Linked DNA regions of Drosophila melanogaster. The protein of the gene in region 2 purifies or fractionates together with the protein of the main gene of each other region. This does not show direct contact. Each region holds a gene or a part of one and is shown on either strand. Other genes may lie near its edges.

Region 1 (7,330 bases), on a different chromosome or scaffold from region 2:
CTTGAAAGTAGTAGTTGCCGAATCTATGTACATAGTATCACAAAATAAATTTTAAAAATGACTTTATATTAGAATATAGGCCATTAGAGTATTCTGCTTGCGACATGTGAATTACAATTGCAATGGCCTCCCCGTGTTGTCCCGTGGGTACCGATTATTACATATATTACATATAATTAATTATTAACATAAATATAAATATGTAAACGGTAGCTAATTCAAGAGGCGATTTTAGCAAACGAATATAAAAAAACTTTAAAATTATAATAGTCACGGCGTGAATTTTTAATTATTATTTTATTTCATCATATACGATACAAAAATGGCGAATATCCATTTCTTGTTTCTTTAAACAAAATTGATTTCGGCCCGAAAATCGTCTTCTAGCACAACTACACACACATACATATATCTATTGTTTTTACTCACACAAGCAAGCAAATTCTATTTTTAGATTTCTTATGCTCTCAGCGTAAGCGAGGGGACAACAGAGCGCAATTTTGAAACCAATGTATGGCCGTTACGCGTCTTGTTATTCCAGTGTCTTTGACCGAAACCTACAAAGACAGAACGCTATAGCTTATTTCCTCGACTAACAGATATCTCTTACTTAGACAGTAGGAGTAAGAGGTCGAAATTTCGGATTATGGATTAATAAAATATATGTATTTTAAATTACAATTTTATAGCAGTTCGATCTGTTTCAATTACCTTAAGAAACCCCTGAATATTTTAAATTTTAATTTCATTTTTTGAAATATTTTTTAAGGAATTTAGAAAAAGAATAAAAGGTTTAAAAACTCAAGTAGACGTTTCATTTTGTATTTAAAAAGCACACACTTAGCTAATATTTTAATTGATTTTTTAATTATAATTGGTTTTTGGTCAGAGTGTTGTTTAGTTTTTAAATAAACTTCTTTCGATTTAATTTTGATGTATGTATGTTGCCCCTTGCATTCTTCATAATGGCTGCCTTTAGTAAATATATTGGTCATTGTACTATAATAAATAAATATAATTATGTGTAATATAAAAATAACACATTTTTCGTCATGATTCTTACATTTTATTTTCACTTATATATGTTATGTTGTCTTATATTTTTTATTAAAAGTTTATTTTGTAGTGTGCTCGATTTTTAATCCAAAACTGTGTTACATAATGAGACGTATTTTTAATTACAATGAAGAGGATCAAAAAATTAAAAGATTACCATTCCTTTTTCGGAGTAGACAATGTCACAAGAGCTCGTGCTTAGCATTTGTTGGGGTCAATTGCTTCCAATTTTTAAAACCAACGAATATTTAAATATTTTTTTGTAATCAGAAATTTATCAATAGATTCTACATGACCTTGCTTAATTATCACATAAAGGAAAATATTTGCGCGGTTTAAGAGCTGGAAGTTCCTAAGTTTACCATTAACCTTTTTATTGATATTATTTTGTTTCGCTTTTTAATACTGCATTCTTAGCTTCACGGCAGCAGCGTTGCCAATGTAGATTTTTTCCTACTAGAATAAAAAAATACAGAATAAGCAATCATTTGCGTCATTGTGAGTTGTGAGTGCAAACCAACAAAACTGGAAAGGTGGAAACTAATTTATAAAATCAAAAACGTTTTCCCGATGACAAGCGATTTGTTCTTAGCTGGGAATAACACTATTATAATAATAATATTATACTTATATAATTCCTAATAATTTGCTCCAAGCATACATTTTTTTTTTTGTAAAAAGAAAATTAAAATTAATAAAAAGTAAGTAAGTAAGAGCTGCGTATCATTGTGCCGTTTGATATTCCAAATTCCTAATAAATTATTCTCTTATTGAGTTGAAAAATATCCATGTTTGTCATTATATGTGTTGTAAAGATTATAGACAGTTTAAGTGTACACATTAACCTCTTTGGTCAATCTAATCTAACTTTTTGGTAAGAGATGGTTTATCTCTTTAGCATCTCTTATCGCAGCATTTTCTGCGGCAGGTCTGGTTATGTTTCGAGTGTTCACGTCGGCTGTTAACGGATTTTTGATACATTGTTGTTATGTGTAAACAGTTCTATTTATGTACTTGTACATGTTGCACAGCGCAAATATTGTCGATTAACCATGGTTTCCCGTGCTAAGTTTCGATGTGATGCCAACCAAGTATAAACTAAAGATCCTGTGTTATACCAAAACGAATTCGGCGTTGTCAAGATCGATGTTCCCGATTGCTCTTCAGTTCACAAAGAATTTTCACAGTAAATAATGTGATAGCAGCATAAGTTTCATTAACTATCGCTTTGAAATATAGTCGGTTAACCGAAGTACACCCTTGCAAAGTGACTACACAAATGGATTGATGAAGCATTTTTATAGGGGTCAATATCCAATGCTAAGTGTTGAAAAAAATCCACAAATAAAACTTCAATATCTGTAGTGGTTCCCTAATTTAACTTATATATTCGGAGAATAAATGAAATTGTATATACATATGTACGTATGACAGGATCAGAAATCTCTCTGAGAATATATAAAAATCGAATCTTCAATTCAGTCAAAATTTAAAACCCACCGATATAATCTATTTAGTGATACTTATTTAACTAAGTGTTAATAATTTACAGGTCTTAATGACGGTTGGTCTTAATTTACAGTTGTAGAGAAATTCAATAAATTATTAATAAGACAATTGATTAGCAAAATAGCCATTCGTTGGACAAATTTTCCAAAAATTGTTGAATAATAATAATCAAATTTTTTAAATTTATATAATTTTAATAGTAAAAAAGGTACATAAGTAAAATTAGTATAAGTATATACATAAATAGTCCCAAACACTACGTGGCGTTGAAGCCTCCATGCCATGAGAAACCCTTAATGAAATAATTTAACATTAAACATGTTATGATTTTAAAATAATTTTATAAAATTTTAGCCATCGTGCCACATAAATCAATGTTGTTCAAAACTTTGTGTAGAGATAGGTGGGTCTGTAACACTCGAATCAAAAACAATATTAAGATAAAAATAGCGCGCACGGCAAGTGTTGCATGGAAGAAGATGAGATCAATTTAGATTCTTTGGAGATTGCTCTTTTTAACGCGACTACCATTTCATTGATATTATTTTACAAAAATGTTCCTGGAACATTTTAGACTCCATCGGTGGTGTCTTCTTTCTTTTTTCTTTTAACATTAGCCAATTGATTGGATGTGGAATCAGAACTGAAAACATTTAAACGATATCTACATAAATACTTCCGAGGTTTTTAATGGTAAGCTTCCCTTTAATGTGCTCCTTGTGAATACAGCATTACAATGCCCTCTAGCTCGATAGTTCAATTTGTATGCGATAGGCTGATACAGCCGATACTAATAATCTGCTCTAGGACTGATAGTGTACACACAACGTTTGAGCGTTGCCTAAGAAGTTTTTTTTAAATAAATATTTGTTTACATTGACTAATCGATTTTTTGTGTTAAACAACCTTATAAAAAATGCGCTAAACCTAAAATAGCCAAATGGATCATTTTAATTTAAAAATATTTATGCACCTACAGTGAATCAGCGGCATATAAAATTAATTCGCATTAAATTCAATCGATATTAAAAAGTTTATATATTAAGGAGAGAGAATGTAGAGCTAAATAATAATAAAAATGACATATGGGGAATTGATGCCCAAACTCAACTACAAACTGATCATACACAAAACCACAAATAAATATGTTGCGAAAGGAATTGTATTGTGCAAACATTATACATGTTTTACATGTACTGTGTATTATTATCATACTCGGTTCTCAGCATTATTGCGTTAACTGCATTGAAGAACTGCCGGCTCAGGCGTTATCTCCCTTAAATGACATAGTCGCCCAGTTTAACTTGCCATCAATACCAGTTCAATCAACAGCTTCCAGCTATGGCAATCGATCAATTGGAAACAATATAGAAAGTGTTAGAGACTCTCAATCTAAAAATTATTTTACTCACATGAGCTTCGACTTTATGCACAATGTTTTGTTTGCGGGTGCTACAAATAAAATACTTAAACTTAACGAAAACCTTCGAGTGCTGGCCGAGGCTGTTACTGGGCCGTTACATGATTCCCCGCAATGTCACGCTGGAGGCTGTCCGGAAGATATTGAGACATCGCTTGTCAATAACTTCAACAAAATTCTAGTAGTAAGCTACGCTCACGATGGTATTCTCATAGCGTGTGGAAGCATTCGACAAGGTAAAATAGCAAACACATATCAAAATAAAAATAAAATACTTAAGTCGGCGACTTCGTATGGGACCGAAACTCCTGACATATCGTATTGGTTTATAGAAGTTATTGGTCATTTTTTGTAGTCATCGTAGAACAATGTCGCAGTGTTTTTGAGCTCCACATAAAAAAGCGGCGAATATAAGTAATTATTCAAAAGTGCGGAAGGAATATGATGATAAACAAAACAGGATTTTAAAATGTTATAAATTAAAAAATCTATAGTTGAACTCTTGAAACAATTTGGGTAGTATTAACGTTAAAGTATTAAAATAAAACAAGATAATATGCTATAGTCAAGATCTCCGATACTCAGCTAGTGTGAATGCGAACTCGAAATCGAAATTTCATCATTTTTCTGGGATATCGATAGATATTGGGGAATAAAAGAAGAAACAATTTGAAAAATGTTCAATAGTGTGGGCGTGACCGGTTTGGCGGCTTTAGGGAGTTAGAGTAGGCGTGGCAAAAAGTTTAAGCAACTAATAAAATTAAAAAAAATATTCTAAAATGTTTGCAAAAATATGGGCGGGCAGTTTTGGGCATAATATTACTTCAATCATGCGATGCGAATCGTCTTTAAAATACTTTTCAACGAATCAGTTAACAATTTTTACTGTTCCTGAAATCAATTCTGATCGAATAAACGAATTTACATATTTGGTAAGTTTTGGCCAATTTCGTAGCAATATGATGAAATTGCGCTCTTTTTTAGGAATATCAAATTGGAATATAACAAAAAAAAAACTGAAACTAAACAACTGAATCTAATGTGCATTTTAAATAATAAAAATGGATCATTTTATACATCATATTAAAATTAAAAAAATTTCATAAAAATAATACGTAGTAGAAAATAAAAATTTTTAACATAAATAAAAATATGAAAACTGTTTATTGCAAGTCATATGTATCTTGAGGCACGAAGTGCGGACACAAGCACTCAACAATCATTGCCTTATTAATTTTTCACACGTCGAAAGCTGAATACTCTAATGAATATAATAATATTATAAAGTCATTTTTGAAATTTTTTTTTGTGATAATATGTACATAGGTTTGACTCTTTCTAATCTATTTTCAAATAATAATAACGTTAAGGCAATGCAAAACAAGAATTTTTCGCATGGTGCCAATTGATCAAAAATAATATAGATTTAAAGTCTATGAACTTCTAAGGTGAAGGGCATATATTGTCAAATTTACAATGCATGAGCACACGTGTGCACACACACAGATGTCTGGTATCACTGTATGCGTAGAAAAGAGCTGTTCGTTGTAGCGCTCTCCGCTCTCTCGCTCTCGAACAAAAATTCGAGAGAGCCTGGAGCAACCTCTAGAGCCACGGCGAGAAAATCGTGGGCTAAGGACAGGCAGACGGACATGAGTAGATCGACTCGGTTAGTGATCAAGATCAGGATTTTTGATATTTTATAGGCTCGGTGACGTTCCGTTCTACATGTAGTATACATTTTTACTTTACAAGTTACGGGTATATCAAGTCCAATGGATACTATGACTTAGGTGTTATATTTTGTCCTTAAAATAGGTTTTAAAAAATTCCGCGATAGTAATAAAATTATCTTTATTTTCAGGAGCCTGCGAAATTTACAGCCTGCCACGTTTTCCGGCAACGCCCCAGTTTTTTGCAGTTCCATTGGCTGCTAACGATGAAAACGCGTCTACATATGCATTTGTAGGTCCGGCGAGATATGCGTGGAAAGAAGAGGATATTTTATATGTGGGGACAACATTTACGAATGTTGGTGATTATCGTCATGACGTGCCAGCCATTTCGTCCCGCCGACTTGATGATTTAAACTATGCTGAATTTTCAATACAGCAGTCAATTATAAATATCGATGTAAAATATCGGGATCATTTTCTAGTCGATTATATTTACGGCTTTAATTCTTCTGAATATGCGTACTTCATAATTGTTCAAAAAAAATCACATTTAGCTGATGAGGCCGGTTATGTAACACGCTTGGCACGCATTTGCATTACAGATCCTAATTACGACAGCTATACTGAAATAACTGTTCAATGCACTGCAACTGAAAACAATGTTGACTACAATATTGTAAGGGATGCGAAAGTAACTCCAGCCAGCCACAAATTGGCGCAAAAAATGGGCATAAAAAAAGACGATCACGTTTTAGTAACGGTTTTTTCGCCCTCAAGAGAAATAAGTAATCAGCCAGAAAGTAAGTCTGCTATGTGTATATATAGCATTAAAGATATTGAAGACATGTTCATTGAAAATATCCATCTGTGTTTTAACGGAACCACAAAAGATCGAAATTTGGGCTATATATCCGGCACCATTAATGATGGCAGATGTCCAATAGTTGGTTCGCTCGGTAACATTTACAACTTTTGCTCTGTGGGACTTAAAATAAGCGGAGTATCCCCAATCACTGCACACGCACTTTTTCATTTTGATAATGTTTCAGTTACGTCAGTCACAGCAACTTCAACGACTGATCAGCAGCATTCTCTTGCATTTCTTGGAACGAACATGGGAGTAATCAAAAAAGTTTTATTATCTGGCCAAAGTCCGGGCGAGTACGAGGAAATAGTTGTGGATGCTGGAAATCGTATACTACCAAATACAATGATGTCGCCAAAAAAAGATTTTCTTTACGTACTTTCTCAACGAAAAATAACTAAGCTTAGAATCGAACACTGTTCTGTGTACACGAATTGTTCCGCTTGCTTAGAGTCTCGGGATCCTTTTTGTGGATGGTGTTCCTTGGAGAAGCGGTGCACTGTACGATCAACATGCCAGCGAGATACATCTGCGTCGAGATGGCTTTCATTAGGTAGTGGACAGCAATGCATAGAATTTGAATCTATTATCCCAGAGAAAATACCAATTTCTGAATTATCGCACCTGCATTTAATAATTCGAACTTTGCCCGAACCTTTTAATGCAAAATACCGATGTGTTTTTGGAAATTCCACCCCCATTGATGCCGAAATTCTGGAAAACGGACTCGGATGTGCTACTCCCCCATTAGATGAAAGACCATTAATACCAACAAACACTGATCATATTTTGGTGCCATTGTCA
Region 2 (7,446 bases):
CGAGAAAATGTTGCTTAGCTATCTCGCTCTAATTCGCTAGAGCGATTGAATCTTATTTGGACGTATGACAATATTTACGAATAATGAGATAACAATGCAAACTTCAACCACTCCCCACAGATAGCCTTCCTCACGGGCCTGCTGCTGGGCAATGACCAGAATCTGCGCTCCTGGTTCGCCGCTTACATCCGCTCCAGCCAGAAGCGGAAGGGGGACGCACTGAATCTGGTGCGCGTGGAGCTGCTACAGAAGGTGATTCAAACGACGACCAATGCGGCGGAGCTGCGCGACTTCAATCTGCAGGGCGCGGTGCTGCTGCGTCTGTACTGTGCCCTGCGCGGCATCGGTGGCCTGAAGTTCAACGACGACGAGATCAATGCTCTGTCGCAGCTGGTCACGAGTTGTCCGCAGGCGACGCCCTCGGGCGTGAGATTTGTAACGCTGGCGCTGTGCATGCTCATCGCCTGTCCCTCGCTGGTGTCCACCATTCCACTGGAGAACAAGGCTGTGGAGTGGCTGCAGTGGCTCATACGGGAGGATGCCTTTTTCTGCAAGCGCCCCGGTACTAGCACCTCGCTGGGTGAGATGCTCCTGCTTCTGGCCATTCACTTTCACAGCAATCAGATCTCGGCCATCAGCGAGATGGTCTGCTCCACGCTGGCCATGAAGATACCCATCCGGCCGAACAGTACAAACAGAATCAAGCAGCTCTTCACACAGGACCTGTTCACGGAGCAGGTGGTGGCGCTGCATGCGGTTCGCGTACCCGTCACTCCGAATTTAAATGGCACCATACTGTGCTACCTGCCGGTGCACTGCATCCAGCAACTGCTGAAATCGAGGACATTTCTCAAGCACAAAGTGCCCATTAAGTCGTGGATCTTCAAGCAAATATGCAGTTCGGTGAGGCCAGTGCATCCTGTGATGCCGGCCCTGGTGGAGGTCTTTGTCAACACGCTGATAATACCCAATCCCACCGGAAAAGTGAATATTGATCACATGCACCGGCCCTTCACTGAGGCGGAAATTCTGCACGTGTTCCGCACATCCAAGCTCACATTCTTCGCCGAGGAGCTGCCACCGATGGCGGAAAGTCAGGAGCTCAACCAGATCGAGGTGACGTGTCCACTAACCGCCCAGCTGCTGATGATCTACTACCTCATGTTGTACGAGGATACGCGACTGATGAACCTCAGCGCTTTGGGTGGTCGCAAGCAGAAGGAGTACTCCAACAACTTCCTGGGCGGACTGCCACTGAAGTATCTGCTCCAGAAGGCGCACCACTACCACAACGACTATCTCTCGCTCTTCCATCCGCTGCTGCGTTTGATTATCTCCAACTATCCGCATCTCAGCATGGTCGATGACTGGCTGGAGGAGCACAATCTGGCCCAGGGCAATTCCACGGTGGTGGTAAGCAAGCATGAGCTCAAGCCGGAGACCCTGGATCGTGCACTGGCCGCCATCCAAACGAAACCGCATCTAGCCATCCGCGTGTTTAAGCAGCTACTCCAGATGCCCCCAGAAACGCAGGCGCAGTATGGACAACAGCTGGTGAAGCATCTGCCGATGGTGTTTGCCAAGTCGGTGCCGCGATACGTCAAGGATCTGTACAACGATATTTGGCTGCGCCTGAATGCCGTGCTGCCCACCACCCTGTGGATCATGTCGCTGCGAGCGATTACCAACGGCTCGGATACGATGGATCGACGTACCTTTGCCAACGAGAGTCTTCTGGAGCCCATGGAGGTGCTAAGGTGGGTTGCCTCGTCATTTTCGTGTGTTGTTTCCTAAAATTCTTTCGCATTCCTTTTGATCAACAGTTGTCCACGCTTCGTATTCTGTTCGCCCTATTTGCTGATGATCCTGCTGCGCATTCTGAAGGGCAGCCTAGCCGCCTCGAAGACCTATCTCAACGTGCACATGCAGATGCAGCAGAAGCAGGTGCTGGACAAGAATGGCATGATGCAGACGGATGCGATTTGGGAGGACCTAAGGACCACGCTGATTGCCTCGCAGGAGAGCGCCGCCGTGCACATTCTGCTGGAGGTGCTGGACTACATAGCCAGCAAGGCAACGGATCGGGTGTCGCATCTGGAGCTGCGTGAGATACAGGGCATCATTGGCACCTATGTGCATCAGGCATTCATTTCGGAGCCTTCGCTGGCGAAACTAGTGCACTTCCAAACGTATCCAAAGTCGGTTATTCCCATGATGGTGGCCAGTGTGCCATCGATGCACATATGCATTGATTTTGTTCACGAATTCCTCAACGTGACGGAAATGGAAAAACAGATCTTTACCATCGATCTGACCTCCCATCTGGTGCTCAACTATTCGATACCCAAGAGTCTGGGCGTCTCGAAATTCTGCCTGAATGTAATCCAGACGACGTTGTCCATGCTGACCGCATCGACCAAGTGTAGATTCCTGCGCAATGTGATGCCAGCGATGGTTCGTTTCGTGGAAACGTTTCCCATTCTGGCCGACGACTGCGTCAACATCCTGATGACCACCGGGCGCATTCTGCATTCGCAGTCATCGCTGGGCATGACCACAATGGAAATGCCACTCACCGATAGCGACAAGCTCTGCACGTATCGGGATGCCCAGCTGCACATCATCATGATCGAGGACGCGTTTAAGGCACTGGTCACGGCGGTCATGAAAAAATCGGACCTGTATTAGTTGGACTCGATCCCGCCTTGTTTTTCATAGTCGTAAGCAACCTTTCCCCACTCCGCCCCCCGGCTGATTATAATAGTGCTTGTAAAATTTATAACAACATTGACCAGAATAAATACTTATTGCAAAAACCATTTCTATATAACTAATTAATTAATTGAGTTTAAATTTGGCGCCTCAAATAAATATATAACTACGCAGCTGTTATCGGAATCTACTTTTATCGATAATATACTTTGGTTAGCGAGTACACATACCAGATATATCTATCGTTCCCGGCCATGCCACCCATACGCGTATCGGGTTATCGATAAAAACTAACAAGCATCGACATTAGTTCCAGCTCTAGTTTTTGTTGTTGTTAAATTAAAGCTCGGATGTGAATTACAATAATTGTGAGTAGCGTTCGTGCGTGCGTAATATGCGAATCGACTGGCATTCGGCATTGAGTTTTGTGTTTTGATTCCTGAATCGAGTCAGGACGTATCTGACCTGCTTTTTCAGTGTGCGTTTACGATGCTGATTCGTAATTGTCCTTTGTATACGTTGTGTACGCGCTGCTCCTCTCTCCTCTCGCTCTCCCTCTCCCGCTCTCCCTTGTCTTGAGTGTGTGCGCCTGCTGTGTGCGTGTGTGTGAGTGAGTGAGAGTTCCATGGTGGGAAAATAATTATTAAAGCAAATACAACAAATACAATTGCTTAGTATTTTGTCAAGTGACTGGCTGGAAAAGCCAAGAAGCACGGGCTTCAAGAAAAAGTGTCGCCGAGGCGGATTAAACTTGAATTCTTTGTGCGCAGCTGCAGGTAATTGTTCACACACACAGAACCCACGCACACACACGCAGCCAGCGAGCACGCAGAGAGAGCGAGATGCCCCGCTGCTGGGAGTGTGTGCGCCAGAGCGGGATGGCTAGGCGGATGCGGCAACAGTGTTTTTCTTTTCTGCAACAAATCTTAAAATTCGTTTCCAAAAATTGTATGGTGTTTTGTCTCTCGTCTTTGCGCTCTGCCGCTCCCGCCGCGCCCGTTTGTGTTTTTGTAATTGTACCGTTGCACATGCACTTGCAGTACTCTCTCTTCTCCTCCCCTTCCTCCTTTCTTTTTGCCTTTGTCGTTGTTGTTATCACTGGATCGTTGCTCTCCGTTTCTTGCGCTGTGGCTGTTGTTGTTGTTAGTTGTTAGTTGTTGTTGTGCAGCGCGGAGAATGTACAGGAAATCTGTTGCAGATCCAATTTCGCTTCTGCGCTGCACTTGCCCAGCATGTGTGTGTGTGTGTTTGCGGTGGTTTGTACGCCGGAAAAACTCAATTAAAGGCCAGTGGGGAATTTATTATTTCCACTCTCATTGAAACGCACAACCACACACACCCACATTGTTGCACTCCCACTCGAGGATAACAGCAACAAATTGGAGTGCACTAGCAACAGCAACAACAAACACATTCACATCCGAATCCACCCACGCGCTCTCTCTACTTTCCACTCTCAGTCGCTCGTGCTCGCTCACTCTGACTCTGATTCTCTCTCTTTAGAGAGTTGCGCCGTGTCGTTTGCAGCACCAAAAGAAGCGCTGCGACAGAACAACCGCCGCAGTCAGGACGGAAAAAGGATTTGTTGCAGACTGACTTTCCCTACTTGCCGAAAATGTTGTATAAAAACTAGCCATATAAATAAATACAAAGATCAAACTAGCAACCCAAAAGAAAGCAGGTAAAAAAGAGCCCTGTGCATTTTTTGTGAAATCGCGATTCGCGTATATTATTCGCTGGCCAAAAATCACATGGAATGAATTTTCGGGCAGCGCCGGCATAAGAAAATCGCTTGCGCGTTTTTCTTCTCCGTTTCTTTTTTTTTTTTTGTCACATCGCAGCAGCCAATCTCTCGCTCTCGCTCTCTCGTGTTTTTGGACCCCCAATCCGTGGATGTATCCGTAACTGCGTAGTTGTAGCCAAAAGGAACTCATGACAAAGTCCTAGACTGGCGAAAAGTGTGCGGAAATGTGAAGGTCCTGCGGCCAATTGGAGCAGACGGCGCGGAGGACACGGGGCGATTCTCCAACTCGAAGGTTATCTTGGATAATAGTCATCGGCTGGCATCGCAAGCCAGCCATTTGCCGTGAAAAAGTGACCAGAAATCGACGGTTTTCCATTCCGTGTGTGTCCGGAGAAACTGAGAGGTTATCCCTGAATATCCAAAGATATCCATAAGCTGACGTTTTCACGAAAACACATTTGTATATATCGAGCCGAGCCAAGGTCTATTCTACGCTATTTTTCTTTCGTATATCCCTATAATAAGGAATATATCTTTATGTGAAATCCTGAAAAGCATATTATCCATATGCATATTATCCTTTTCATACAACGTTAACAGGTTATCTCCTGTGATATTTTAAAATATTACCTTAACAACCGATTGAATGAATCAATTTGCGATGGATACAATGTTACAACATTGTGTCATGTTGATAGGCATGTGAGGAAAAGCGCCAGTAGATAACACCTTATCGATATGATAAGGCACAATCATACATTTGAACGAAAACACCTGCAGAATACCAAATCCGGAATTACCTATTCCATAACACTTTTAGCATTTATCTGCGAGTCTATAAGCCAGGTATCTAATTCTCTCCTTCGACTTTTGAATCCTTGCAGGAACGTCAAGATGCGTCAGTTTAACATCTCGGTCATTGGACTATCCGGGACCGAAAAGGACCGCGGGCAGGTGGGAGTGGGCAAGTCATGCCTGTGCAACAGATTCATGCGCCCGATGGCCGACGACTACTTCATCGATCACATATCAGTGCTTAGCCAAAGCGACTTTAGTGGCCGGATCGTGAACAACGACCACTTCCTTTACTGGGGCGATGTGCGCAAGACGACGGAGGAGGGCGTCGAGTACCAGTTTAATATCATCGAGCAGACGGAGTTCATGGACGACTCCACGTTCCAAGCCTTTAAGGTGGGAAAGATGGATCCATACTCAAAGCGGTGCACGGCCACCAAGGTCTTCTCCGCGGAGAAGCTAATGTACATATGCAAGAATCAGTTGGGCATCGAGAAGGAGTACGAACAGAAAGTCATGCCCGATGGCCGGCTCAGTATCGATGGCTTTGTTGTCGTCTTCGACGTTAGTCCAGTGCCCAATCGCAGTGTGGAGAAGCAGGTGGAGTTCGTGCAGAATGTCATCGCAACCATACTAAAGAACAAGAAGCCACTGGTGCTGGTGACCACAAAGAACGACGACGCTTATGAGTTGTATGTTCGAGAGGCGGAGAAAATTAGCCAGCGAAAGGACTACAAGAGCACTGTGCAGCTAATCGAGACGTCGGCCCACGAGAGCATCAACATCGATTTGGCATTCCTCCTGCTCGCCCAGATGATCGACAAGGTTAAGAACCGTGTCAAGATCATCTCCTACCAGGAGTCGGCCAAGTCACGCAAAGAACTGCTGGACACACGATCCGAGGCGGTGACGCGACTAATACGCAACCAGATCACCGACTATCACGTCCTGTGGTCGCAGGGCTCCAAGATGCTGTCACAGTATCGCGAGTGGAACGAGTTCCTCAACATATTCGGCCACGAGGCCGGCCAAAAGCTATTCCGGCGGCACATGAAGAAGCTGCGCGACGATCATCTGAACAAAAAACTGCATCAGTACTTGGATAAGTTTGCCCTGGCCCTGGAGTACCTGCTGCCGGACATCGGGGCTTTGAATATCAGCGATGACGATGCTTGGGAGTGCGCCAGGAACTATCTGCAGAATCACATCGAGTTCGAGCAGTACTTCTTCGAGTGCCCGCAGGCCTCGTGGACGGAGCTGGTGGACATGGACGAGGCGGAGGATGAGGCCCGCATTCCCTTTGATGTGCTAGAGACTTCCGAGGCAGAGACTGTCTTCCGTAACTACTTGAACTCGGTGCAGCAGGACAAGAAAAAAATTGGGTGAGTTCAGACCAAACGTGTAATTTCATTAAGGCATTTTACAAATGTAATGTATTTTACTGTAATTACTGTATTCATTGATTCATTGAACTCTCAGTTATATATAAAACCTTTCTATACCATTATATAATCATCCATAGATGGAAGCAGCAATTCAAAATGCTACTTGAGGAGTCGGGCTTTGTGACGCCCGGCAAGCAGCTGTCGGAGGTGCGCGTCCTCTTCATGGGACGCGAATGCTTTGAGGCGCTTTCGGAGCACGACTGCCAGCAGATCTACGACATTCACCAGGACGACATCATTGAAAAGAGCAAACAGAATTTTGTGGAGCTGCTGCTGGAACATGCTCAATATTTTCTACAGTTCAAGAACGTTGACAACATCACTCAGGAAGATGTGCGCCAGATAACCGATGTCATACAGGAGGATTCACGCTACAAGATGCTCGATCGCTTGGACCAGGAGCGGCGGTTGATGCTTGTCCAGCACCTGCGCTTCATCCACTGCCCCATCCGCGATCACTGCCCATTCTTTTACAACTGTGTGGATAGCCTGATTGAGGAGGTGTTGTCCGACAAGTCGGCCAGCAACCACAAGACGCCCAGCGGCGGTGGCTGGAAGAGTTCCGGCAGCGGCAGTGACCGCACGCTCAATCTTCTGATCGTGGGCTCCGAGCACCTGGCCAGCGATCTGCTCAACGACATCCGCATATGTACCGGTAGCAAGGGCGAGTACATCTACGAGAACCAGACGTATTATCTCAATTACCGAATCGCCAACGGCGACATGGAGGCCTTCAAGGCCATAGATGTC

The links. The genes of interacting proteins can lie anywhere in the genome.
Region 1: the proteins of RhoGAPp190 (region 2) and PlexB purify together in Drosophila melanogaster (affinity purification with western blotting, with the first as the bait; one study listed by BioGRID). This does not show direct contact.

What each region holds. Positions count from the first base shown.
Region 1 is NC_004353.4:39,805-47,134, reverse strand, and holds the start of PlexB (plexin B), read left to right. Parts: upstream 1-3,356; 5' UTR 3,357-3,710; coding exon 3,711-4,221; exon of another isoform or gene 4,222-4,361; intron 4,362-5,849; coding exon 5,850-7,330.
Region 2 is NC_004354.4:17,648,133-17,655,578, reverse strand, and holds the start of RhoGAPp190 (Rho GTPase activating protein p190), read left to right. Parts: upstream 1-3,016; 5' UTR 3,017-3,080; exon of another isoform or gene 3,081-3,488; intron 3,489-4,268; exon of another isoform or gene 4,269-4,393; intron 4,394-4,678; exon of another isoform or gene 4,679-4,859; intron 4,860-5,340; 5' UTR 5,341-5,350; coding exon 5,351-6,633; intron 6,634-6,773; coding exon 6,774-7,446. Other genes in the region: IntS2 (integrator 2), read left to right, coding at 121-1,757, 1,824-2,688. UniProt on the Drosophila melanogaster protein: GTPase-activating protein (GAP) for RhoA/Rho1 that plays an essential role in the stability of dorsal branches of mushroom body (MB) neurons. The MB neurons are the center for olfactory learning and memory.